3 linked regions of the Elephas maximus indicus genome follow. The main gene of each other region encodes a partner of the protein of the gene in region 3 in a complex. Links are inferred from orthologs where the notes say so. Each region holds a gene or a part of one and is shown on either strand. Other genes may lie near its edges.

What was found. Proteins that work in one complex are often made in the same cells at the same time.
Region 1: MYO7B (region 3) and CDHR5 share a complex: the UniProt entries of both Homo sapiens proteins name them as parts of the IMAC/intermicrovillar adhesion complex. The link is inferred for Elephas maximus indicus from reciprocal best matches to the Homo sapiens genes MYO7B and CDHR5.
Region 2: MYO7B (region 3) and CDHR2 share a complex: the UniProt entries of both Homo sapiens proteins name them as parts of the IMAC/intermicrovillar adhesion complex. The link is inferred for Elephas maximus indicus from reciprocal best matches to the Homo sapiens genes MYO7B and CDHR2.

The regions. Positions count from the first base shown.
Region 1 is NC_064825.1:137,425,074-137,431,997, reverse strand, and holds the start of CDHR5 (cadherin-related family member 5), read right to left. Parts: upstream 3,067-6,924; coding exon 2,843-3,066; intron 2,696-2,842; coding exon 2,594-2,695; intron 2,499-2,593; coding exon 2,417-2,498; intron 2,170-2,416; coding exon 2,094-2,169; intron 2,050-2,093; coding exon 1,874-2,049; intron 1-1,873. UniProt on the Homo sapiens protein: Intermicrovillar adhesion molecule that forms, via its extracellular domain, calcium-dependent heterophilic complexes with CDHR2 on adjacent microvilli. Thereby, controls the packing of microvilli at the apical membrane of epithelial cells.
Region 2 is NC_064820.1:196,536,843-196,544,483, forward strand, and holds the start of CDHR2 (cadherin-related family member 2), read left to right. Parts: upstream 1-4,575; coding exon 4,576-4,627; intron 4,628-4,902; coding exon 4,903-4,974; intron 4,975-7,641. UniProt on the Homo sapiens protein: Intermicrovillar adhesion molecule that forms, via its extracellular domain, calcium-dependent heterophilic complexes with CDHR5 on adjacent microvilli. Thereby, controls the packing of microvilli at the apical membrane of epithelial cells.
Region 3 is NC_064824.1:15,096,001-15,104,088, reverse strand, and holds the start of MYO7B (unconventional myosin-VIIb), read right to left. Parts: upstream 3,010-8,088; coding exon 2,632-3,009; intron 1-2,631. UniProt on the Homo sapiens protein: Myosins are actin-based motor molecules with ATPase activity. Their highly divergent tails are presumed to bind to membranous compartments, which would be moved relative to actin filaments.

The DNA of each region.
Region 1 (6,924 bases), on a different chromosome or scaffold from region 3:
GGGCCAGGAGGGGGGTTATCAGGCCAGGGCAGGAGTTGGGCTAGGCCATTGGTCTCTGAGTTTGTTGTGTTCCCTTTCTACCACCCTCTCCCACCCCGCCCCAGGCTGCCCCACCCTCCCACCTCGTGCACATTTCTAGTCTTATTTCCTAGAACCTCCTTGGGGCAAAGTTCCTAAGGTGACCCATGAGGTCCTGTCCCTGCGAGGTCCAGACCCTGGTTCTGTGCTCTGGCCATCCTTCCCTTTGCACCAGCCCTCCGGTCAGAAGGAAAAGGCTCTTTTGCATGTCCCTGGCACACCCTTGTCTGTTCCTAAACACAAGTCAGCTTCCTCCAGGTGGGGCTGGGCAGGGCCCAAGAGATGGAGATAGAGGTGTTTATGGGGCAGCTCAGTGGAGACTCCTCCCACAGGCCTGGATTAAATTGGGTCCTCCAAGAATCTGTACTGTAAATCCTAGGCTCTGTGCCTGTGGTTGTAACTGTGTTTGGGAGAGGGTTGTCTTTGTTATGTTAATGAGGCAGGATTAGTTTAGGGTGTATTTTGAGTCAATCTCTTGAGATATAAAAGAGATTAAACAAGCAAGCGAGTGAAGCAGAGATGGAGGAAGAGAGATGCCAAGCCACATGAAGATTGCCCAGGAGCAGAAGCTCAGAGAGCCAAGGACCTTCCTCCAGAGTTGACAGAGAGAGAGAGCCTTCCCCTAGAGCCAGCACCTTGAATTCAGACTTCTAGCACCTTGAATTCAGACTTCTAGCATCCTAAACTGTGAGAAAGAAACCCTGGTGGCGTAGTGGTTAACTGCTAAGGCATCAAAAGGTCAGCAGTTCGAATCCACCAGGTGCTCCTTGGAAACTCTATGGGGGCAGTTCTACTCTGTCCTATAAGGTCTCTATGAGTCAGCATTGACTTAACCGCAATGGTAATGGGGAAACTATGAGAAAATAAATTTCTGTTTGCTAAAACCACCCCCATGTTGTATTTCTGTGATAGCAGCATGAGATAACTGAGACAGTGGGGTCATGGTGAGGCCCTGGCCCCAGCCCCCCTGCCCTACCACTGTGGGGGCTCACTGTCCCCGGCCCCTCCTGTCCCACATGTATCTTTCCTTGGCCTCCCAAGCCCTCTTCCCACCCCCCAGTCCAGGAACACTTGGCAGAGGCACCTGGGTAGGGTCTGGAGGGGGAGGGGCTGTTGTAATGGGGGGTGGAGCCCCCCCACTCCTGCCCTTACACCTCTTCTGTCCAAGGCAGAAACACCCTCTCCTAGCCCACACCTCTCTGCCATTTCCTGGCCCTCCATCTGCTGCTCACGCCCACGCTATTATCTGGGGGTGCATCCAAGTCCCTACTTCGTAGGTGTAGTGTGGCCCAGCCTCTGGCCCAAGACCATGCAGCCTGGCCAATGAGAGCCCTCTCACTCTGGAGCCAGGCTCTGGTCCTCCTGGGTAACACTCCCTGCTGTCCTGAGCCTCCTTACCCCCTTCCGGACCCCCGACCTCTTGCTGCAAACACACTGACCACTTAGTTCCTGGGGAGGAATGTTAGCTGAGTGGATGGACATGGGTCCGGGCAGGACACCACCCCACCAGCTGGACTGATGGACAGGAGGTGGCACCGATGCCAAGATAAAGAAATACTAAGGAGAGGCACTGAAAGGCCAGCTCGGTCCCAAGTTTAAAGGGCAGCCTGGCATGCCAGGCATGGCCACAGTCCTTGAAGTGGTGGACCTGGGGGCATCCTTCCACCTGACAGCTGCCCCCTCCTCTCCTGCAGGGGGCTGCCTCAATGGACTGAGACGGTGCATACAGTGGGCTCATGGGGCCAGGGTCTGAATTTCTCCTTTATTAGTGCCAAGTATGTCCCCGCCCCCCCACCCCTCCCTCAGGCTCTGGCTCCAGGTCCAGGTCAGTGGAAAGACGCCTTCCTCCTCCAGCTTCATCTAGGCTGCCAGGACCCTTCAGCTCCCAGGGTGTCTGGCTCCCAAATCCTGACTCCAGACCCGGGCGGGGAAGGCAGCCCAGCTTGAGCCCTTGCTGGATCGCCCGGCATCCTGCAGAAAGGAGCCAAGTGAGCAGGGGTCTGGACACCCCCTACTGGGTGAAACTAGGGCTCCTCTGGTCGGTGTCATGCCACCCCCACTGCCAACTCCAGCTCCTGCATCTGGGGGCCGCTGGGGAGGCGGGGGGGGGGGGGGTCAGGCAGGTGCTGGGGCGCGCTGTGCTCACCAGGCCTGCAGGGCGCCTGGGTCGGACCACAGCAGGCAGAGTCGGCCCTCCAAGGTCTGGACCTGGGCGGTGCTGTTCTCTGTGTCCTGCTCACTGACCCCGCCCCCCAATCAGAATTAGTCCTGGAGTTGGGGGGATCAGACACTGCTGAAGTGGGGCAGGGGTGAGGGGGGCGTGCCCCACATGGGGTACCCGCCGCCTCCCCGGCTCAGGGGTGCCCCCGCCTGCCTCCTCCTCGTCTCTGGGATGCTGCCGCCAGCCCCCCTCCTCGGACCTGGGGCCTCCGCCAGACCACTTCCCCGGTTCTGGGATGGCCTCCTGGTCTCCCTCACCCGCTGTACAGTGCCCCTGCCGGCCCTCCACGCTCACCTGCGCTTTCCCACCAGGTCCTGGAGCAGCCGCTGCAGCCGCGCGCTGTCCCGCAGGCGGCTCAGCTCGCTTGTGAACGTCCCATCCGAGTGTCTCAGAGCCCTTGGGGGGTCGCAGGGCCGGGTCAGGACGCCAGGGGCTCCCCAGGGGCCGTGCAACTCCGGGCAGGGAGGAGGCTGTGGGGCGGCGCGGGCTCGGGCGGCGGGCTTGTCTGGGGGGCGCGGGCTCACCTGGGGGGCGCGGGCTCACCTGGGTGGCGCGGGGCGCGCGGCGGAGGCCCGGAGCAGCGGCAGCAGCAGGAGCAGCAGCAGCGCGGCGGGCGGCGGGGAGGCCATGGCGGGCTCGGGGCTGTGCTGAGCGCTCACGTCGGCGTCCGGAGTCCTGCGCCACCCCTTTATAGCCCCCAGGGCCGGGCTTGGGGTGGGGGGGCCCGGAGGGGCTTCCGCCCCGGCTCCGAGCTGCCGGGGCCTCATTGATCGTTCCGGAAGGTCAGGGCCACCCCCCAGCTGTCGACTGGCGACCGCCTGTCCTCCCCGCCAAGTTGGCGCTCCTAGGCGGGCTGGCGGCGGGGGGCGTCCATGGGGGCGCAGACAGGAGGGCTGCGGGGGCCGGGGGCGCCTCCACTGGCGGGTTCAGGAGGGTCTGGGAGGGAGGAGGGTGTCCGGCTGCGAGTTCGCCCCGGGTGGGCCAGGCTATGGGAACAGCAAGTGCAAAGCCTCTGCGCTGCGACCCTGTGCACTAAGGCTGCAGGAGCAGAGCCCAGCGTGGGGGCCCCGAAGGGGGCAGCTGGGCCAGCGGAGGCGCTGGGGGCCTGGAGGTGGGCCCCGGGGAGGAATGGTGAACAACTGAAGGTGCCCAGGAGCATCTGGGGTCAGGGCTGGGACGGAGAGGGCGAAGCGACAGGATCCCGCGGGTGGCCCCCGGGAGGCCCCGGCAGGAGGATGGGCGCGGCGGCCAGGGGAGGAAGGAGTTGGTGCAGGCGGGGACTTCGTGATCTGGCTGCCAGGCGCTGTGCAGGGGCTGGGATGTGAGCACTGGGAGGGCGAGGGGCCGGGTGACAGGTGGGATGCGGAGAATTACACCGCTTCACGGGGCTTTACATTTCATTTGTGCAGGTGGGAGGGACACGCACCTATGGAAGGCCGGGCCTGGGGATGGAGATACCACAGATGAGGGAGGAAAGGCTGGGGGTGGGGGAGACTGCGGTGTCACTCATGCTTTAGTCGATGCAGTATTCACTCCAGTTCAACCCCTAACAGCTTGTTCCCATGAAGCACTTCAACATAATTTACAAATCTAGGAAAATCAAGCATAAAACTAGCGGCTCTTGTGTTAAACTTTACAGGCTTTCTTAAGCAGCTTCTGCCGCTTGTTCTGTCCCAAAACTGGCTGATTAGAACCCTCAACACTGTAATTAACTACAGAGGGAATAATTACCTTCACCTTTATGTAAGTATTGGAAATGTCTAACGAACTCCAATTTTATCTACTTCCACAGCACCTCAAATCTTAAGTAACCAGGCAGTCCTTGATAAGAAACATTTTATGCAAACATCCATTAATAATCAGAATGTGGAATGCACAAAGTATGAATCTAGGAAAAACAGAAGCTGTCAAATTTGAAACGGAATGCATAAAGATTGATATCAAAGGCATTAGTGGGCTGAAATGGACTAGTATTGCCCATTTTGAATCAGACAACCACATGGCCTACCATGCCAAGGATGACAAATTGAAGGCGAACAGCATCACATTCATCGTCAAAAAGAACATTTCAAGATCTATCCTGAAGTACAACGCTGTCAGTGATAGGATAATGTCAACAGGCCTACGAGGAAGACCTGTTAATATTAATATGATTATTATTCAAATTTACGCACCAACCACTAAGGCCAAAGATGAAGAAACTGAAGATTTGTACTAACTTTTGCAGTCTGAAAGTCATCAAACATGCAATCAAAGTGCATTGATAATTACTGACGATTGGAATGGGAAAGCTGGAAACAAAGAAGGATTGACAGTTGGAAAATATGGCCTTGGTGATAGAAATGATGCCGGAGAGCCCATGATAGAATTTTGCAAGACCAATGACTTTTTCATTTCAAGTACCTTTTTTCAACAACATAAATGGCAACTATACATACCAACCTCACCAGGTGGAAAACACAGGAATCAAATCAACTACATCTGTGGAAAGAGAAGATGGAAAAGCTCAATATCATCAGTCAGAACAAGGCCAGGGGCCGACTGCGGAAAAACACACCATCAATTGCTCATATGCAAGTTCAAGTTGAAGCTAAAGAAGATTAAAACAAGTCCACGAGAGCCAAAACATGGCCTTGAGCATATCCCGCCTGAATTAAGAGACCACCTCAAGAATAGATTTCAAGCACTGAACACTAATGACCAAAGACCAGATGAGTTGTTGTAAGACATCAAGGACGTCATACATGAAGAAAGCAAAAGTTCGTTAAAAAGACAGAAAAGAAATAAAAGACCAAAATGGATGTCAGAAGAGACTCTGAAACTTGCTCTTGAACATAGAGTAGCTAATGGGAATGAAGAAATGATGAAGTAAAAGAGCTGAACGGAAGATTTCAAAGAGCTACTTGAGAAGAGGAAGTAAAATATTATAAGGAAATGTTCAAAGACCTGGAGTTAGAAAACCAAAAGGGAAGAACACACTTGGCATTTCTCAAACTGAAAGAACCGAAGAAAAAAATTCAAGCCTCAAGTTGCAATTTGGAAAGATTCTATGGGCAAAATATTCAGGGATTCAGGAAGCATCAAAAGAAGATGAAAGGAACGCAGAGTCACAGTACCAAAAAGAATTGGTTGACGTTCAACCATTTCAGGAGATAGCATATGATCAAGAACCAATAGTGTTGAAGGAAGAAGTTCAAGCTGCGTTGAAGGCATTGTCAAAAAACAAGGCTCCAGGAATTGATAGAATACCAACTGAGATGTTTCAAAAAAGGGATGCAATGCTGGAGGTGCTCATTCATCTATGTCAAGAAATTTGGAAGTCAGCTCTCTGGCCAACCAACTGGAAGAGGTCCGTATTTGTGCCCTTTCCAAAGAAAGGTGATCCAACAGAATGTGGAAATTATCTAACAATAGCATTAACATGACACGCAAGTAAAATTTTGCTTAAGATCATGCAAAAGCAGTTGCAGCAGTACATCAACAGGGAACTGCCAGAAACTCAAGCCAGATTCAAAACAGGACATGGAACAAGGGATATCAACTGCTGATGTCAAATGGATCTTGGCTGAAAGCAGAGAATACTGGAAAGATGTTCACCTGTGTTTTATTGACTATGCACAGAAATTTGGCTGTGTGGATCACAAGAAATTACAGATAACATTGCAAAGAATGGAGATTTCGGAACACTTAATTGTGCTCATGAGGAACCTGTACTTAGACCAAGAGGCAGTGGTTTGAACAGAACAAAAGGATACTGTGTGGTTTAAAGTCAGGAAAGGTGTGCGTCAGGGTTCTATCCTTTCACCATACTTATTCAATCTGTGTGCTGGGCAAATAATCCAAGAAGCTGAGCTATATGAGCAAGAATGTGGCATCAGAATTAGGGGAAGACTCATTAAAAACTTGTGATATGCAGATGACACAGGCTTGCTTGCTGAAAGCAAAGAGGACTTGAAGCACTTACTGAAGAAGATCAAAGACTATAGCCTTCAATATGGATTACACCTTAACATGAAGAAAACAAAAATCCTCACAACTGGACCAATAAGCAACATCATGATAAACGGAGAAAATATTGAAGTTGTCAAGGATTTCATTTTACTTGGATCCACCAACAACATCCATGGAAGCAGCAGTCAAGAAATCAAATGACGTATTACATTGGGCAAATCTGCTGCAAAAGACCTCTTTAAAGTGTTGGAAAGCAAACATGTCACTTGAAGGACTAAGGTATATCTCATATGCATGTGAAAGCTGGACAATGAATAGAGAAGACCAAAGAAGAATTAATGCCTCTGAATTATGATGTTGTCAAAGAATGTTGAATCTACCATGGACTTCCAGAAGAAGGAATAAGTCTGTCTTGGAAGAAATACAGCCAGAGTGCTCCTTTGAAGTGAGGATACCCAGACTTTGTCTGATGTACTTTTGACATGTTATCAGGAGGCACAAGTCCCTGGAGAAGGACTTCATGCTTGGTAAATAGAAGGTCAGTGAAAAAGAAGAAGACCCACAAGGAGATGGACTGATACAGTGGCTGTAACAATGTGGTCAAGCACAACAATTATGAGGATGGTGCAGGACTGTAAGTGTTTTGTTCTGTGGTAGACAGGGTGCTTATGAGT
Region 2 (7,641 bases), on a different chromosome or scaffold from region 3:
GATCATACAATATTTGTCCTTTTGTGACTGACTTACTTCACTCAGTATAATGATCTCAAGTCAACTTCATTTCTCTCTATGGCTGAGTAATATTCCATAGTATGGATATGCCACATTTTATTTACCCATTCATCCACTGATGAACACTTGACTGTTTTTACTTTTTGGGTGTTGTGAATAGTTCTGCAATGAACATTGGTGTATAAGTACATGGGCTTGTAATTTTGAGAGATGTTGCCCACTTGCCCTACCCAAGGTTGTACCGATTTGCATCTCCCTAGCACTGCATGCCCATCTCCCTGTGGCCTCAGCCACGCAATGCATTATCTAACACCTTCATTTTGTCAGTTTCATAAGTGAAAACTGGACTGCAAATTAGTCATAATTCACATTTCTCTTATTATGAGTGACATTGAGCAGATTTATATTTTTTCTTTTGTTTCTAAATTTTATTTATTTTGTTGTTGTCACTGAGAATATACACAGCAAAATATACACCAATTCAACAGTTTCTACATGTACAATTTAGTAACATTGATTATATTCCTCAAGTTGTACCGCCATTCTCACACAGTAGCTTTATATTTTCAAAGAGCCAATTGTGTTTCCTAGTTCATCATCTGTCTGTTCATATCCTTACTCACTTTTCCATTTGGTTGTTGACATTTTCTTTATTGAATGAGAAAGATGTTCCCTTACAGGGGGGAACATTCACCCCTGTGTTATGGATTGAATTGTGTCCCCCCAAAATTTGTGTCACTTGGCTAGGCCATGATTTCCAGTACTGAGTGGTTGTCCATCATTTGTGATCTGATGTGATTATCCTATGAAATCCTAACCTCTACGATGTTATTGGGACCCTGGTGGTGCAGTGGTTAAGTGTTTGGCTGCTAACCAAAATGCCAGCAGTTTGAATCCCCCAGCCACTCCTTGGAAACCCTATAGGGCGGTTCTACTCTGTCTTATAGGGTTGCTATGAGTCAGAATCAACTTGACCCCAACGAGTTTTATGATGTTAATGAGGCAGGATTAGAGCTAGTTATGTTAATGAGGTAGGACTCAATCTACTGGATTAGGTTGTATCTTGAGTCAATCTCTTTTGAGATATAAAAGAGACAATCCAGCAGAGAGGAGAGGTACCATTACCATCAAGCAAGATGAACCAGGAGCTGAGCAGGGTCCCTGCCCTCAGAAGCTTCTAGACCAGGAGAAGATTGATGAGAAGGACCTTCCCCCAGAGCCGACAGTGAGAGAAAGCCTTCCCCTGCAGCTGGCACCCTGAATTTGAACTTCTAACCTCCTAAACTGTGAGAGAATAAATTTCTCTTTGTTAAAGCCACTCACTTGTGGTATTTCTGTTACAGCAGCACTAGATAACTGAAACATGCTGATTATGGAGGAAGAAACAGCCCAGAGAAGGCAGGGAGTTGCCCAGACCCACAAAGCCAGAGTGGCTGAGTCACAGCTGATCCCAGCCAGGTCAGACTTCCTGTCCAGGACACTCGCTGTTCCTTGCCCTTTCTGATTCCATGACTTAAGGCACCAGGTTGTAGAAGAGGCGGACTTACCTGTTCCAGCTCTGTTCTTGATTTTGAGGCCCCAGAGTGGGGGAAGGGTTCCACTCTCAGAAAATGAAGGTGCTGGTTCCCTAAGAGTGGAATGGAATGCTGGGAGATCTTCCTTCAAAATCTGTAAGATCAAGTCCAGTCCCTCAGCCTGACACCAAGGCCTTCCCATCCTCCTCTCAGTCTAGTGGCCATGCACCATGGGGCCTCTGGCCACATCTGCTGCATTTCCCTGAATAAGGTATGAGCTGTTAGACCTCTGTACCTTCACACATGCTGGCCCCTCCACCTGGAAGGCCTTTCCTTTCAGGTCTACTGGGAAAACTCCTACTTTTCCTTCAGGACCCCACCTAACTGTGTCCACCAATGAGATGCCCTCCTTGGCTCCCCAAATGGAGGAGACATTCCCACAGCTCTACTCTCACACAAATCACAGTGCCCAGAGCCTAGAAGGTGAATAATAATTGTTGAAATGAAATGAAACAAGAGTCGATCAGCTCTAGGAAGACAGATACTCATAGCCCACCAGAATGCAGTTCCTCAAAATGCATTCAGTGCCACACACGTGGCCCAATGGGAAGAAAGCCTCTTGAAAGTCAAATAAATTAGAAACATCAGATTCTAAACAGACCTCTTCCCTCCAGAACTTGTCAGTACCTTTAATGGGCCATTACACATTGTTGTTTTAGGAGAATTCTCAGCCAAAGACCTTGCTAGGCCCTGATTTCCTTGATTCAGAAAGGTTCAAACCCTAAGAGAATGATATCTCCAGGCACAATGGTGTTTCAAACTAAGTTCCTTTTATATTTTACTTAAGTGAATATTAAGTAGTAGTGATTGAATTTCGCTCCACTGCTTATCTGTCCTTCGCTGGTGAGGCAATTCTTTTCTCTAAATTGCTTCAAATATCTGAGCAGTAAAAACACCCCCAGCCCCATAGGAGGGGTTGCCAGTCAAAGTCTGGGGCAAGATCTCCCCCAGAGACAAGAAAGGAAGGAGACCTAACTGTTCATACCTGGGATGAGTGCCAGTGGTGACATGCAATGTCTCGTTTTGAGCACAGAAAGACAGGGGTTGGCAAACTGTGGTCTTCAGGCCAAATGTGGCCCACCGCCTGCTTTTGTGTACCCCATGAGCTAAGAAGGGCTTTTACATTTTTAAATTGTGGAAAAAAAATTAAAAGAAGGATAATATTTTGTAAAACATGAAAATTATATGAAATTCAAATTTTTGTGTCCATAAATATAGTTTTATTGGAGCACAGCCCTGTCCATTCATTTCCGTATTGTCTATGGGTGCTTTCGGCCTACGATGGCAGAGTTGAGTAGTTGCTAAAGCGACTGTGTGGTCCACAAGCCTAAACTACTATTTGTCCCTTTACAGAAAAAGTTTGTTGATCCTTGTCTTAATAGAATTATTATAGAGTTGTTTTTGTTAGTTGCTGTCAAGTCAGCTCCAACTCATGGTTAACTTATGCGCAATAGAACGAAACTGGCGGTCTTGCCCCATCTTCATTATTGTTGGTATGTTTGAGTCCATTTTTGCAGCTGTTGCATCAATCCATCTCATTGATGGCTTCCTTTGTTTTTGGCGACCCTCTACTTTACCAACCTTGACGTCCTTTTCTAGCAGTTGGTCTTTCCTGATGACATGTCCAAAGTAAGCTAGTTGAAGTCTTGCCATCCTTGTTTCTAAGGAACATTCTAATTGTGTTACTTCTAAGACCAATTTGTTGGTTCTTCTGGAAGTCTGCAGTATATTCAGTATCCTTTGCCAACACCACAGTTTGAACACATCAGTTCTGTCTTCCTTTTTCATCATCCAACTTTCGCATGCATGAGGTGATTGAAAAGACCATGGCTTTGGTCAGACGCACCTTACCCATCAAAGTGGCGTGTTTGCTTTTTAAAACTTTAAGGAAGTCTTTTGCAGCAGATTTGCCCAATGCAATAGGTTGTTTGGATTCTTGACTCTGCTTCCACAGAGTAGCAAGCATGAAAAACACTGTCTTAACAGAGGGCATGAAACAAAACATTTGAAGAACCCATGCTGCTCTCCCCTTTTCTTCGTTGTAGCTTATTATCAATTGTCTTTGGGGATGAAAAAGCCTTGGGGTTTCAGACCACTTGGTGACAATGAATCAGAGACCCTTTTTCTTGGATGAAGGACAGCTTGCAACATGAAAGGCCAAAAAGCCAGGGCCAGATAGAGTTTTCCAAGAGTCCCTGCCCAGCTCTGAATTACCAAGAAGGGCACAGAGTATACAGTACTAACCAATCTGACTGGATCTGGGAACCCTTTTGCCTTGGGGCATCTTACAGGGCGAGGGTTCCATGGAGAACACTTTAGGAAAGGTTGCAATGGCAGCTATTAAATGTGTCAGTAAGTAGGTCAAAGGACCCTGGCTCAGCCATGGAGTCCCTGGATGATCCTGGTCAAGCCATGGTCCCTTTCCTCTCCCCTGTTTTCGAAGGATGCTATCAGTGTGGACATTTCAAACAGGGGGGATAATGTAGTGGTTGAGGGAATGCATTTTGGAATCCAAAAGACCTGTGTTCAAAGTGAGATCTTGTCACTGGTTCTCAGTGTGGCCTCCAGCAAGCCTCCTAATCTCTCAGCCTCGGTTTCCACATGTGTAGAATGGGACAATGATAATAACCACCTCATAGTTGCAGGAATAATGAAATAATGCATCTAACCTGCTTGGAACAGTGCTTGTCATGCAGTGGGTGCCAAATGCTGGAGTCAAGTTCAGGTTCATCCTGAGGCTGGGGCTCTGGATTGGGCTCAGCTGTCTGCCCACACCTCTGTTTCTCCCACCCATGGAACATCTGAAAAATGGACAGAGGGTGATATGCCTGCATGACCCAAGGAGGGGCTCTGTGGGAATTGCTGGGTGGTGGGCAGGTCTGGGGGGCAGGTCCAGACAGACGAGGACCTGGCAAAGGAGGGAGGCCCAGATCCAGGCACCCCTCCCTGAAACTGCCTCTTCTAGGTCCCTCCAGACGTGATGGCGTGGCCATGGCTGTCCTGCGTCCTGCTTCCTGCCCTGGTGGTGTCTGGTGGGTGCCTCCCCTCCCCAACCAGAGTAGTGCTAAGCTGGGGACCCTTGGCATAATCCTTCTGAAGGGATGGGGCAATCGCTCCCTGATCAATAAATACTGAGCTCCTATGGCCGAACTGTATGCTTGGCTGCACTAGGAAGCCTGGGGAGGGATCTAAGGTCTAGGTGGGTGAACTGGGGTAGATGGTTGGCACTGGAGTGGGCTTTGGAGAGGTGGGGGGAGGTCAGATGTTGCAGGGGGTCCAGATGTTCCAGTGCCCTGTCTTCCTGTAGTGGCAGCCAACACGGCCCCAACTTTCCTGCCAAATATGACAGCAGTGACCCTGCCGGAGGACCTGCCAGTGGGTGAGTAATTTTTTTTTATGCCCAAGCCCATACCTGAAAGAGGGTCCCAGGGGCTGTCAGGGGGCAGCTCTACCCCAGCACATCTTGTCGGGGGGCAAAACCAGTAAACCCGTTGTCGAGTTGATTCCAATTCATGGCAACCCCACATGTGTCAAAGTAGAAGTGTATTCTATAGGGTTTTCAATGGCTGACTGTTTGGAAAGAGTACCAGGCCTTTCTTCCAAGGCACTTCTGGGTGGACTCAAACCTCCAGTCAAGTATGTTAACCATTTTCGCCAACCAGATTCTCCATCAAGGGACACAGGGGGCCTGAAGTGAGTTTATTCAATACCAGAAGTTTGTTTTCTCCTCATCTCTTACATCCACAAGTATAGGGGTTAGGATTTATAACACATATTTTTGGGTGACACAATTGAATTCACAACATTCCACCCTTTCGCCCCCTCCAAATTCATGTTCTTCCCACATACAAAACACATTCACCCTATCACACCATCCCGAATGTCTTAAATCAAGTCTTCTGAATCATCTAAGTCAAGTATGGGTGAGATTTTGCTGAATGTATTCCATCCTGGGGCAAAATTCCTCTCCATGAGTGAACATGTGAAACCTACAACACAAGTTATCTGCTTCTAAAGTACACTGGTGGAACAAACACAGGGTAGACATTTCCTTTACAAATGGGAGCAATTGGAGGGAGAGAAGGGCATATGGGCACTATCTTAATTATCTAACCCATCTTAATTATCTAGTGCTGCTATAACAGAAATGCCACAAGTGGATGGCTTTAACAAACAGAGACTTATTCTCTCACAGTCTAGGAGGCTAGAAGTCCAAATTCAGGGTGCCAGCTCCAGGGAAGTCTCTCTTTCTCTATCGGCTCTGGGGGAAGGTCCTTGTCATCAATCTTTCCCTAGGATCTTCTCAGCGCAGGGACCCTGGGTCCAAAGAATGCCCTCCCCTCCTGGTTCTTCATTCTTGGTGGCATGAAGTCCCCCTGTCTCTGCTCGCTCTTCTGTCTTCTTTACCTCAAAAGAGATTGACTCAAGACACAACCTAATCTTGTAAATTGAGTCCTGCCTCATTAACATCATAGAGGTAAGATTTACAACACATAGGAAAATCACATCAGATATCAAAATAGTGGACAATCACAAAATACTGGGAATCATGGGCCAAGATGACACACACATTTGGGGGGGACACAATTCAATCCACAACAGGCACCAAACACGTCCAAAACCCAGTAAAGCAAATTACGTTAGCCCTCAAGGCTTGAAAATAATCCTCTGTTCTCCAGGACTATCTGGGCAATGGAACTACCCTCCAAATCTTTAAGTTTGTTTCATTTTGCACAGTTCATTTTTTTAAATCCATCCCTGCAAAATGAATTGAAGGTGTTGGCCTCAATCTCCAGATTATGAGTGGAGGCCCCATGTCCCCAGGAGTCAGCCCACCCTCCAGGTCCACTGGGACAGCAACTCTGCTTCCTCAGCTTTAGGTGGTCCCATTCTCCTAGTCCATTTACCTATTCATGTCATTTCATAAAAGTGAGAACATACAATATGGTTTTTTGTAACTGACTTATTTCGCTCAAAATAATGTCCTCTGGGTTCATCCACATTGTAAGATGTTTGTGGAACTCATCTTTCTTTATTGCTGAATTATGTTCCATTGTATGTATATATCACATTTTACTTATTCCTCTGTTGATGGGCACTTAGGTTGTTTCCATCTTTTTGCTATTGTGAATAATGCTGCAATCAACATAGGTGTGCATATGTCTGTTCGTGTCACTTCTATTTGATCCCTAGGGTATACATGTAGGAGTGGAATTGCTATAGGGTCCTATGAGTCGGAATCAACTCGACATCAGTGGGTTTGGGTTTGGTTTGGAATTGCTAGGTCATATGGCAGCTCTACCTCTAGTTTTTTGAGGAACTGCCAGAGTGTTTTCCACAATGACTGTACCATTTTGCATTCCCACTGGGAAAGAATGAGGATTCCAATTTCTCCACATCCCCTCCAACACTCGTTATTTTCTGTTTTTGTTTTGTTTTTTATCTTAGTCATCTCAGTGGGAGTGAAATGGTATCTCACTGTGGTTCTGATTTGCATTTCTCTGAGGGCCAATGACATTGAGCATCTTTTCATGTATCTGTTGGCCATTCGAATACCATCCTTGGTGAAGCCTGTTCATGTCCTTTGCCCAGTTTTTGTTTGGGTTGTTTTTTTGTTAAGTTGTAGAAGTTTTCTGTATATTTTAGATATTAGACTTTTATCAGTTATGTTGTTCCCAAAGATTTTCCCCAATCTGTAGTCTGACTTTTTACTCTCTTGATAAAATCGTTTGATAAACATTATTTAACTTTTATGAGGTCCCAGTTATCTATTTTGTTCTCTACTACTTGTGTATTTGTTGTTATGTTTGATAATCTATTGCTGAAAAAATTACATCCCAAAGCTTTGTTCCTATATTTTCTTCCAAGAACTTTATGGTTTTAGATTTAACATTTAAGTCCTTGATCCATTTTGAATCGTTTTTTGTGTATGGCATGAGGTATGGATCTTGTTTCATTTTTCTGCACTGAAGAAATCCAGTTTTGCTCAGCATTTCCTTTCATAGCCTCACCTCTAGAGGCACATTTAATGTCCATATACCTAGCA
Region 3 (8,088 bases):
CACTGAATTGTACGTGTAGAAATGGTTGAATTGGTGTGTGTTTTGCTGCGTGCGTTCTCAACAACAAAAAATGAAATTAAGAAAAAAAGTAAAGGAACCTTTAGACCAGAAGAACCAGATGGTGATTGGCTACCACTACTGACCGTTCTGATCAGGGCCACAACAGAGGGATCCTGACAGAGCTGAAGGAAAATGCAGAGCAGAACTCAAATTCATAAAAAGTTCAGACTTACTGGACCAGTGGAGACTAGAGAAATCCCTGAGACTATCACCCTGAAATACTTTTTAAACTTTGAACCAAAACTATTCCCTGAGATCACCTTTTAGCAAAATAAGAGATTGGCACACAAAATAAAGGATATTACCCATGAGTATGATGCTCCATTAAAAAAAATCTCTCTATGAGACCAAAAGGTCAACAATTACTCTAAAGCAAAAATGAGAAGTTTAGGGTACATGGAAACTAAAAAAAAACCCAAATCCATTGCCCCAAAGGACTACAATCTGGCTCAGCTATGGGCCTTTGCATGTTGCTGTTTCCTTCGCCTGGACCACCCTTACCACCTTATACATACTCAGAACATGTAGCAATCCTAGAGCTATTATCAAAACTTGGGATCATGAATAGACATTTCACCAAAGAGGAATTGCAAATGTCCAGCAAGCACATGAAAAGGTGCTCAACATCATTAGTCATCCCAAAAACATGTTGCCTTCGAGCCAATTCCTACTCATAGCAACCCTATAGGACACAGTACAACTGCCTCACAGGGTTCCCAAAGAGCACCTGGTGGATTCGAACTGCCGACCTTTTAGTTAGCAGCCGTAGCATTTAACCACTATGCCACCAAGGTTTCCTCATTAGTGTTAGGGAGATGCAAGTCAAAACCACAAGGAGATACCACTTCACCCCCCACTAGAATGGCTATGATAGGAAAAAAGGGAAGATAACATGCTGGCAAGGATGTGGGGCAATTGGAACCCTCGTCCATTGCTGGTGGAACTGTAAAATGGCACAGTCGCTGTGGAAAAGTTTGGCAGTTCCTCAAAAGGTTAAACACAGAATTAACATATGACCCAGCAATTCCACTCCTAGGTATGTACCTGAAAGAACTGAAAGCAGGACGCAAACAGGTATTTGTACACAAACGTTCATTGAAGCACTATGCACAACAGCCAAAAGATGGAAACAGCCTAAATGTCCATCAACAGATAAATGGATAAACAAATTGTGGCCGTGCATATAATGGCATATTAACTCTGCCATAAAGAGAAATGAATCTTGAAAAAACTGTACTGAATGAAATAAGTCAGTCACAAAAGGACAAATACTGTATGATCTCACTTCTATGAAACAGGCAAATGTATAGAGATCAAAGTTTGTTAGTATTTACCACAGTTGGGAGGGAGGGGGAAAGGAGATGTCATTGTTCAGGGGCATTGAGCTTCTGTTAAGGTTAATGGAAAATTTTGGAAATGGATAGTAGTGGTAATTGTAATATATGATGAATGTAACCAGTGTCACTGACTTGCACAAGTAAAAAAAATGTTGAATTGGCAAATGTTTTGTTATATATATTGTTACCACAATAAAACAATTAAAATTAAAAAACAGTTGGGATCAAGTGTGGCTTCCAATGACCCCATGTGATGCTCACAACAATAGTATTTTTATTCCTTTTTTACTACAAAGATGTAAGTGGTAGTGTTGGTATTTGAACCCAGGTCAGTCCGGCTCCAAGATGTGGTAGACAGTAAGAGGGAGGAACTCTTGAAGGCAAGAGAGGTTGGAGAAAGATGGGAGGAGGAGGTGTCAGTTGACTGGGGAGCAGGTGGCTGACTCACCTGTGATCTTTGTACCTCAGAAGCTGTGGCTGTTCTCCCTCTAGCCCCAGGCAAGAATCAGTTGGGGCAGGGATGACCCAGGTCAGAAAGGGAACTGTTGCTGATGCCCTGAGACGTTTATCTCAGATGGGCCGTTGGACAGATGATAAAAAGGTCCAGATAATGGAAGAGGCCTGGAGAGGTATGTGGCCTCAGTTTTACCCCTGTTGAACAGGGCACCTTCACAGGCTGTTTTGAAGATGTAGAGTTAAGGGGCCCCCATAGTGCCCAGCACAGAGTAAGGCAGAGGTGTAGCAGTAAAGCAGTAATAGGCTCAACATGGATCTGCCCTTTAGTCAACAGCCACGGGGCCCTCTGATGGACACGGACAATTACCCTGCTCTCAAGGCACTGGGACTCTGAAAAGATAGAGCAGGCCCACAACTGCATTTGTGAGTAATTTCTCCCAAGATGGATCTTTCTAAACTCTGCTTCCAGTTAGTCCGGTTCCCAAGGAGACCTTTCTGGGTAATGCATCCCATGGGGCTATTCCCTCGTGAAATAAGACTGGCTTTGCCTTCAAGCCTCCTCAGGCTCCAAAGTGGTTCCAAGCTCTCCTGTTTTGGACTTAGTAAGGAACAGCCCTTGTAACCTAAATTTTTAGACCACATGTGTCCCCTCCAGCCTAGAATAGTCTTCTTTTCTGCAATTGCAAAAAACCACCTTCACCACCCCGCAGCCAGGAGAAGAGGATGGCTGCTTTGTGGAGAACATTTGGACATTTTATCTTTAAAGAGGACTTGCTACATGGTCTGGCTTTCCTGGGTCTTGTCGGGCATGGGAGGAGGGTGGAATACTGGAGGGCAGGGAGGGCGCCAGGCTGGTTGGAGGGTCTCCCCTACACTCTGGGTTGTCTGGAGGCAGTGGCGTCACTAAGGTAGTCGGGGGGGGGGAGGGGTTGTGGGCTGCACCCCCTGACACTGTCAGAGGGGGTGACAGCAAAATGACCCCAGGGTCAGCGGCAGCGGCGGCCGCAGCAGTGGTGGCGGACCAGCAGGCGCTGGGGAGGGGCCACCAAGGCAGTGGCGTCACTAGGTTAGTGTCACCCGTCACCCACTGCAGTAACTCCTCACCACTCCCCTCGCCCCGACAACCTGCTAGTCGGGGTGCACGTGGCCAGGCCATAGCGTCCACCATTGGGTGGAGAGAGAGGGTCTCCACCTTGGCCAATGGGAGAGGGGAGGAGCTGCTGGAACCCGGGCGTGGGGCTCGGATGGGCGGGGCCTCGGCGCTGCAGCTCTGCGGGGGCGGGGGGAGTTGGTGATACCCTGAGTTACCACACTGGTGACACCAACACTAGTGATGCTGCTCTGGAGGCCCGTCCCTGACCCCAAGGCAGGGCCACTGACTCATCTCATTTGCCTCAGCGCAGGGCCAGGCCCCAGGAGAGGCACAGGGAAGCCTGTTGACTAAGCTGTAAATGTGAAGCTCCTCTGCTTCCTTCCGCAGAGTGGCTCGCTCCTTGCCGCTGAGACACACCAGGCACCTAAATAAACATTTGCTGAGCAAAGGGAAGATGTGCAGAGGCCAGAGGTGGCGGCTTGCCTCTGCCTGAGCTCCCCGCTCGCCCGCATTGGCCTCATCTGTTTTCTCTGTGCGAGCTCCTTGCAACTGCCCCAATGGGACAAGGAAGGAGGATCTCTGTTAAGATGTTTTAAGCCCAGAATGTAAGTGGAGGGTTGCTGCCAAGGTCCATGGGCTGGCCACACTCATTTTCTTTAGATTATATAATCTGTTTTATTCCTCCAATATCCTTGTCCCTGGCATTTTCCTTATGCGGACCTCATTGCCTCTCCCCTTCTTTCCTTGGAAGTGATTTAACTCAGCCTTGGGCACTTTCCCTAGATCACCCTGTGGGGTTAATTTTACGCAAAGAATTTTGTCTTTGTCCTTGGTTCTTGAGAGATAACCTCTAAAACCTTAGACTTTTCCCAATAATTGAAGTGTCTTTGATGAAGGCTCCAGACCACACCTAAGGGTTCATGACTCATGTTGGGTGGGGGCCGACTGTGCCAGAAGGATATATTGTGATATTGACTGAACTCAGGGAGAAGGGCTGGAGTTTGAATTATTTAACGAGACCACCAATAAAAGCTCTGGACACTGAAGCTCCAGGGCCTTCCTGGTTGGTGATAGACACTTGTGCACATGGGAGGGTAGCGTAACCCCTTTTGGAACATGGAAGCTCTACATGGGGAACCCTCTCAGACCTCACCCTATACAACTCAGCATTTGTATCCTTTTCACCATAATAAAGTTGTGACCAAAGTATAGCATGTTCTGTGAGTTCTGTGAGTCGTTCTAGTGAATTACCCAACACAAAGAAGTAGTAGGAGTCGAAGGTCAGAAGTGAGGCGGAGCCCTGGGGATCCCTGAGCCTAAGGCTGGCATCCTGAGGGGGTAGTAAGAAAACCCCAAATTTGTAGCCAGCATGGGATCAGAAGTGATGATGTCATAGGGAGTCCAAGCTTGCACCTGGCATCTGAAGTGTTAGGCAGGCTTGGCAGTCTGGAGGACTGTGCCCTATTGACTTGTGAGATCTGATCTAGTTCCAGGCGGTTAGGGTCAGAGGAAGAAGTGCTACATGTGTAGCTGGTATCAGAGCAGAAGTGGAACAGATGGGGCAGAACTGATAGTAAATTGATTTGGATTGATCAAAATATCTGGTATCAGAGAAGTGGGGTTTTGATTTTTCCTAGCAAAGCTCTAGATCAAATCAATGCAATTCTTACCAGCCTGAAAACCGCCATTCTGAGTCAGCAGCAGCTCCTCACAGCCTGTATGCGGAGAGAAAGCAGAATGTCAGAACCCTCATGCTCCTCTGGCTCAGAGCCCCTGGAAGGCCTCCACCCGCTATTCTAACTTGAAACACTGCTGTCTTTTCCTATGTTGCACTTAAGGTTGAGATTGGTATGAGGGAGAGACGTGTCTGTTTTCTTCATCACTAAGTTCCCTGCATTTAGCATAGGCCTGGCCCCCAGAAAGGACTTAGTAACTGACTATTCGTTCCATAACAGACAGAATGAAGCCCTTGGAGAGGCTGTTACTTTTATGACGGCTTTGATGGATAAGCATTCACAGTGGGAAAAGGGCATGGTGTCCTCTTAGGATGGCCCAGCTTTAGCAAAGGCACAGCGGGATCTAGGGCAAGCGGTTATTAGGGGCCAGCATGTTGGGAATGAGCAGACTGAGAGTGGGAGCATAGGAGGAGCATGAACTGTGACAAAGACTCCTTTTGCCACTCTATTCTGTTGGACAGAGGAGAGGCATACGAAGAATTTTTTCATTCCAAGTTTTATTTAGTGCACAGGTATTTATACATTTAATAACAATAATAGCCCACCCATTTGTTGAGCATAGATTCCATTTTAAGGTCTGTGGTGATACTTTTCTTTCTAACCCCAAAAGATGGGTACCCCTTTGCTAGTCTTGTTCACACTCCCCTGGGGGCAAAGGGAAGGAGGAGGCTGTGCTGGGATGTTTAGGTGACCGAGTTGCAGAGCCATGGAATCTGAGGGTGTTCTCTAGGGAACTCCAGCCTGGCTCCCCGTGGATGTTCAGGTTCCACGGCCTTCCTGCCCTGCATAGGGGCCCGGGGGAAGGTGGCACGGCATGATGGGAATATGCAGGTCTACCACACAGGAGCTGTGTGAGCTGGAGAAGTCCTCAGGCTGACTTAGCCTCAGCCGGAACCGAAACTCACTCTGTCCTGAAATGGGAAAGACTTGGATTTTGTGGGTCAGCTGTAAGGACTGAGATGCTATATGAAGGTGCCTGGCACAGAGTGAGGACTCAGAAAATGCTTGTTCTGTGCCCAACGCCTCTCCAGGGGGCTTTCCTATGGTTCTGAGGGATCACCAGCTGCTGAGGTGACTGACAGAGCTGCAGCCTTGATTCACACCCCCTGTCCTGGGGAAGCAGGCCCAAGAGATGGCCTGGCAACCTGCGGCCATTGTGAATGCCAGTTTTGCATAGCTTTGGAATCTCTTTACTCCCGTTTACAAGTTGGAGCCTCAACATACCAAAAATTAACAGCCACCTTTGGGAAAGAACTTCCTGTGTGGCAGACACACCTCTGAGAAGAAACACTGTTATTCCCATTTTACAGGTGAGAAAACTGAGACTTTCAAATGTTAAATAGCTGGTAAGTGAGGGAGTCTTCTACCCAACTCCAACTCCAAAATCCACGTTCTTTGCCTTACCTCATCTTGTTTGGAAAAGTTTAAGAGTCTGTGTAAACGTGCAGAGAGGACCTCAACTGAATCCTGGCTCCTGAGGAAGCTCTTTCAAGGAGAGGCTGGTCCACCTCCCACCCTCACAATCCCAAGGAGGTGGTGGAGGTGGTAGCAGAGGGATGAGGTGCAGGGAGGCATTGCCCTGCTTCTGGCCTTTCACTTCTGCACCCCCAGCCTCGGCTCTTTCACCCTCTGCCCTCCTTACCCACAGCGTCTGACCTCCATGTATGTTATGTCGTCCCTCTCAGACACCAAGATCTGCCTCACAGTTCCCCCCACCCCACGCCAGTCTTGTCACTCCTCACAGGAGATGACCTCACACATGTCAGCCTCGCTCTCATTCTCCTATTCAGAATTGTTATCTCCTTTCACTGTGGCCCCTCACCCCCTCCATGTCTCCCTAGTCTTGTCAACCACATCTGGCTTCATTTCTAGCGTGGAAACAGCCTTCAATAAATACCCATGACTGAAATACAAAAATAAAGTATGAGAAGAGAGGTGAGGCCAAGATGGTAGAGTAGGCAGATGCTTCATATGGTCCCTCTTAATATAAAGACTCGAAAAAACAATTATATGTGATGATCTAAGATGAACATCAAAAGCAAAGATGAGGAATCAGACTGAGCGTCAGGGGGAGTGAGAGATGGTTCAGAAGCAGCAAGGAGTTGCCAGACCTGACCTGGTTGGCACTGGCACCCTGCAGGCTGGGTTGGCTGATGAGTGGTGAGGCAAGCAGTGGCATTTGAGATGTGTTTTCCACATCAGGAGAGACCAAGTGGTGGAGAGTCTGCTCAAGCTTCCAGAACCAGCAAGAAATGGTGCTCAAGTGGTGAAAGAAAAGTACAACCATCTAACCTATCACACAGATCAAAAAAAAAAAACCCCTTTTGGGAAATGCCTCTTTCCCATTTACCTGCCCCCTCCCTACTCTGTTCTGGGTCTCCGTCTGGCTTCAGTGACTGCTGCACCCTCTGGACCAGAAGTAGGACCTGTCGCAACCCTGAGCCATTCTCCTGGCTTTGGAAAAGGAACAAATTAAAAAACAGGAAAAATAATCTGCCAGCTCCCTTAAGCTGGGAACTCAGGGCAGGTACAGCCCCTTTGTCTAGGCACAGGTATAAGGGGTCCAGGGACTTTGAATACCTTTCACCCCTGCATAGACCTCTATAGGTCCGTTTCAACAGCACTGGCCATAAATAGCACAGTATAACAGGGTATATAACTGAAGCCTATCTTCATCTGTATCTGCTATAAGGGAGAGTAGCAGATTTGTGACATTTGACACAGCCCTGCCCATTAGGCAGCATCCTCACCTACACACATCAGGGGCCTGAGGACTGGTGACTCTACCCAGTCCACCAAGCCACCTGCAGTAGAGGTCTAGGAATAAGTGGTGACTCCCAGTCTTTACAGAAAACAGCATTGGGTGCCCATAGTCCAGCTGCAAAACCCACCTATCTACGCACTCTAGGAAGAGGGACACACCTTCTGTTCAGACACTCAGGGGCAGAAGTTACCCCCTGCCTTGATCAGCTCATGACCCCCTACGGCATCCAGGTACCTATGCCTACTCCAGTCACCCCTTCCCATCTAGGATTGTAGGTGAGAGCCTGCACCACACATTTGGTGACCAATGACCTGGACACCTGAGCTGAATCCACACAAGTAAAGTAAATGGACTCCTGGGCTCATATAACTAGCAACAGCTTTAACCATCTGGAGACAGGGCATGAGCACTTCAAAGGTGCCAAAAAGTAGCTCACATGATCAACCTATTTGGGATATCAAAACAAAACAAAACAAGAAGCTAGGACACAGTAAGCAAACATAAAATAAATGAATATGATAACTTACTGAAGGCTTGGAGGAAACAGTCAATATCAAATCACATAAAGAGGCAGACCATGATGGCTTCAGCAAGCCATCAAAACAAAGAATCAAGAAATCTTCCAGAGGAAGATAACTTCTT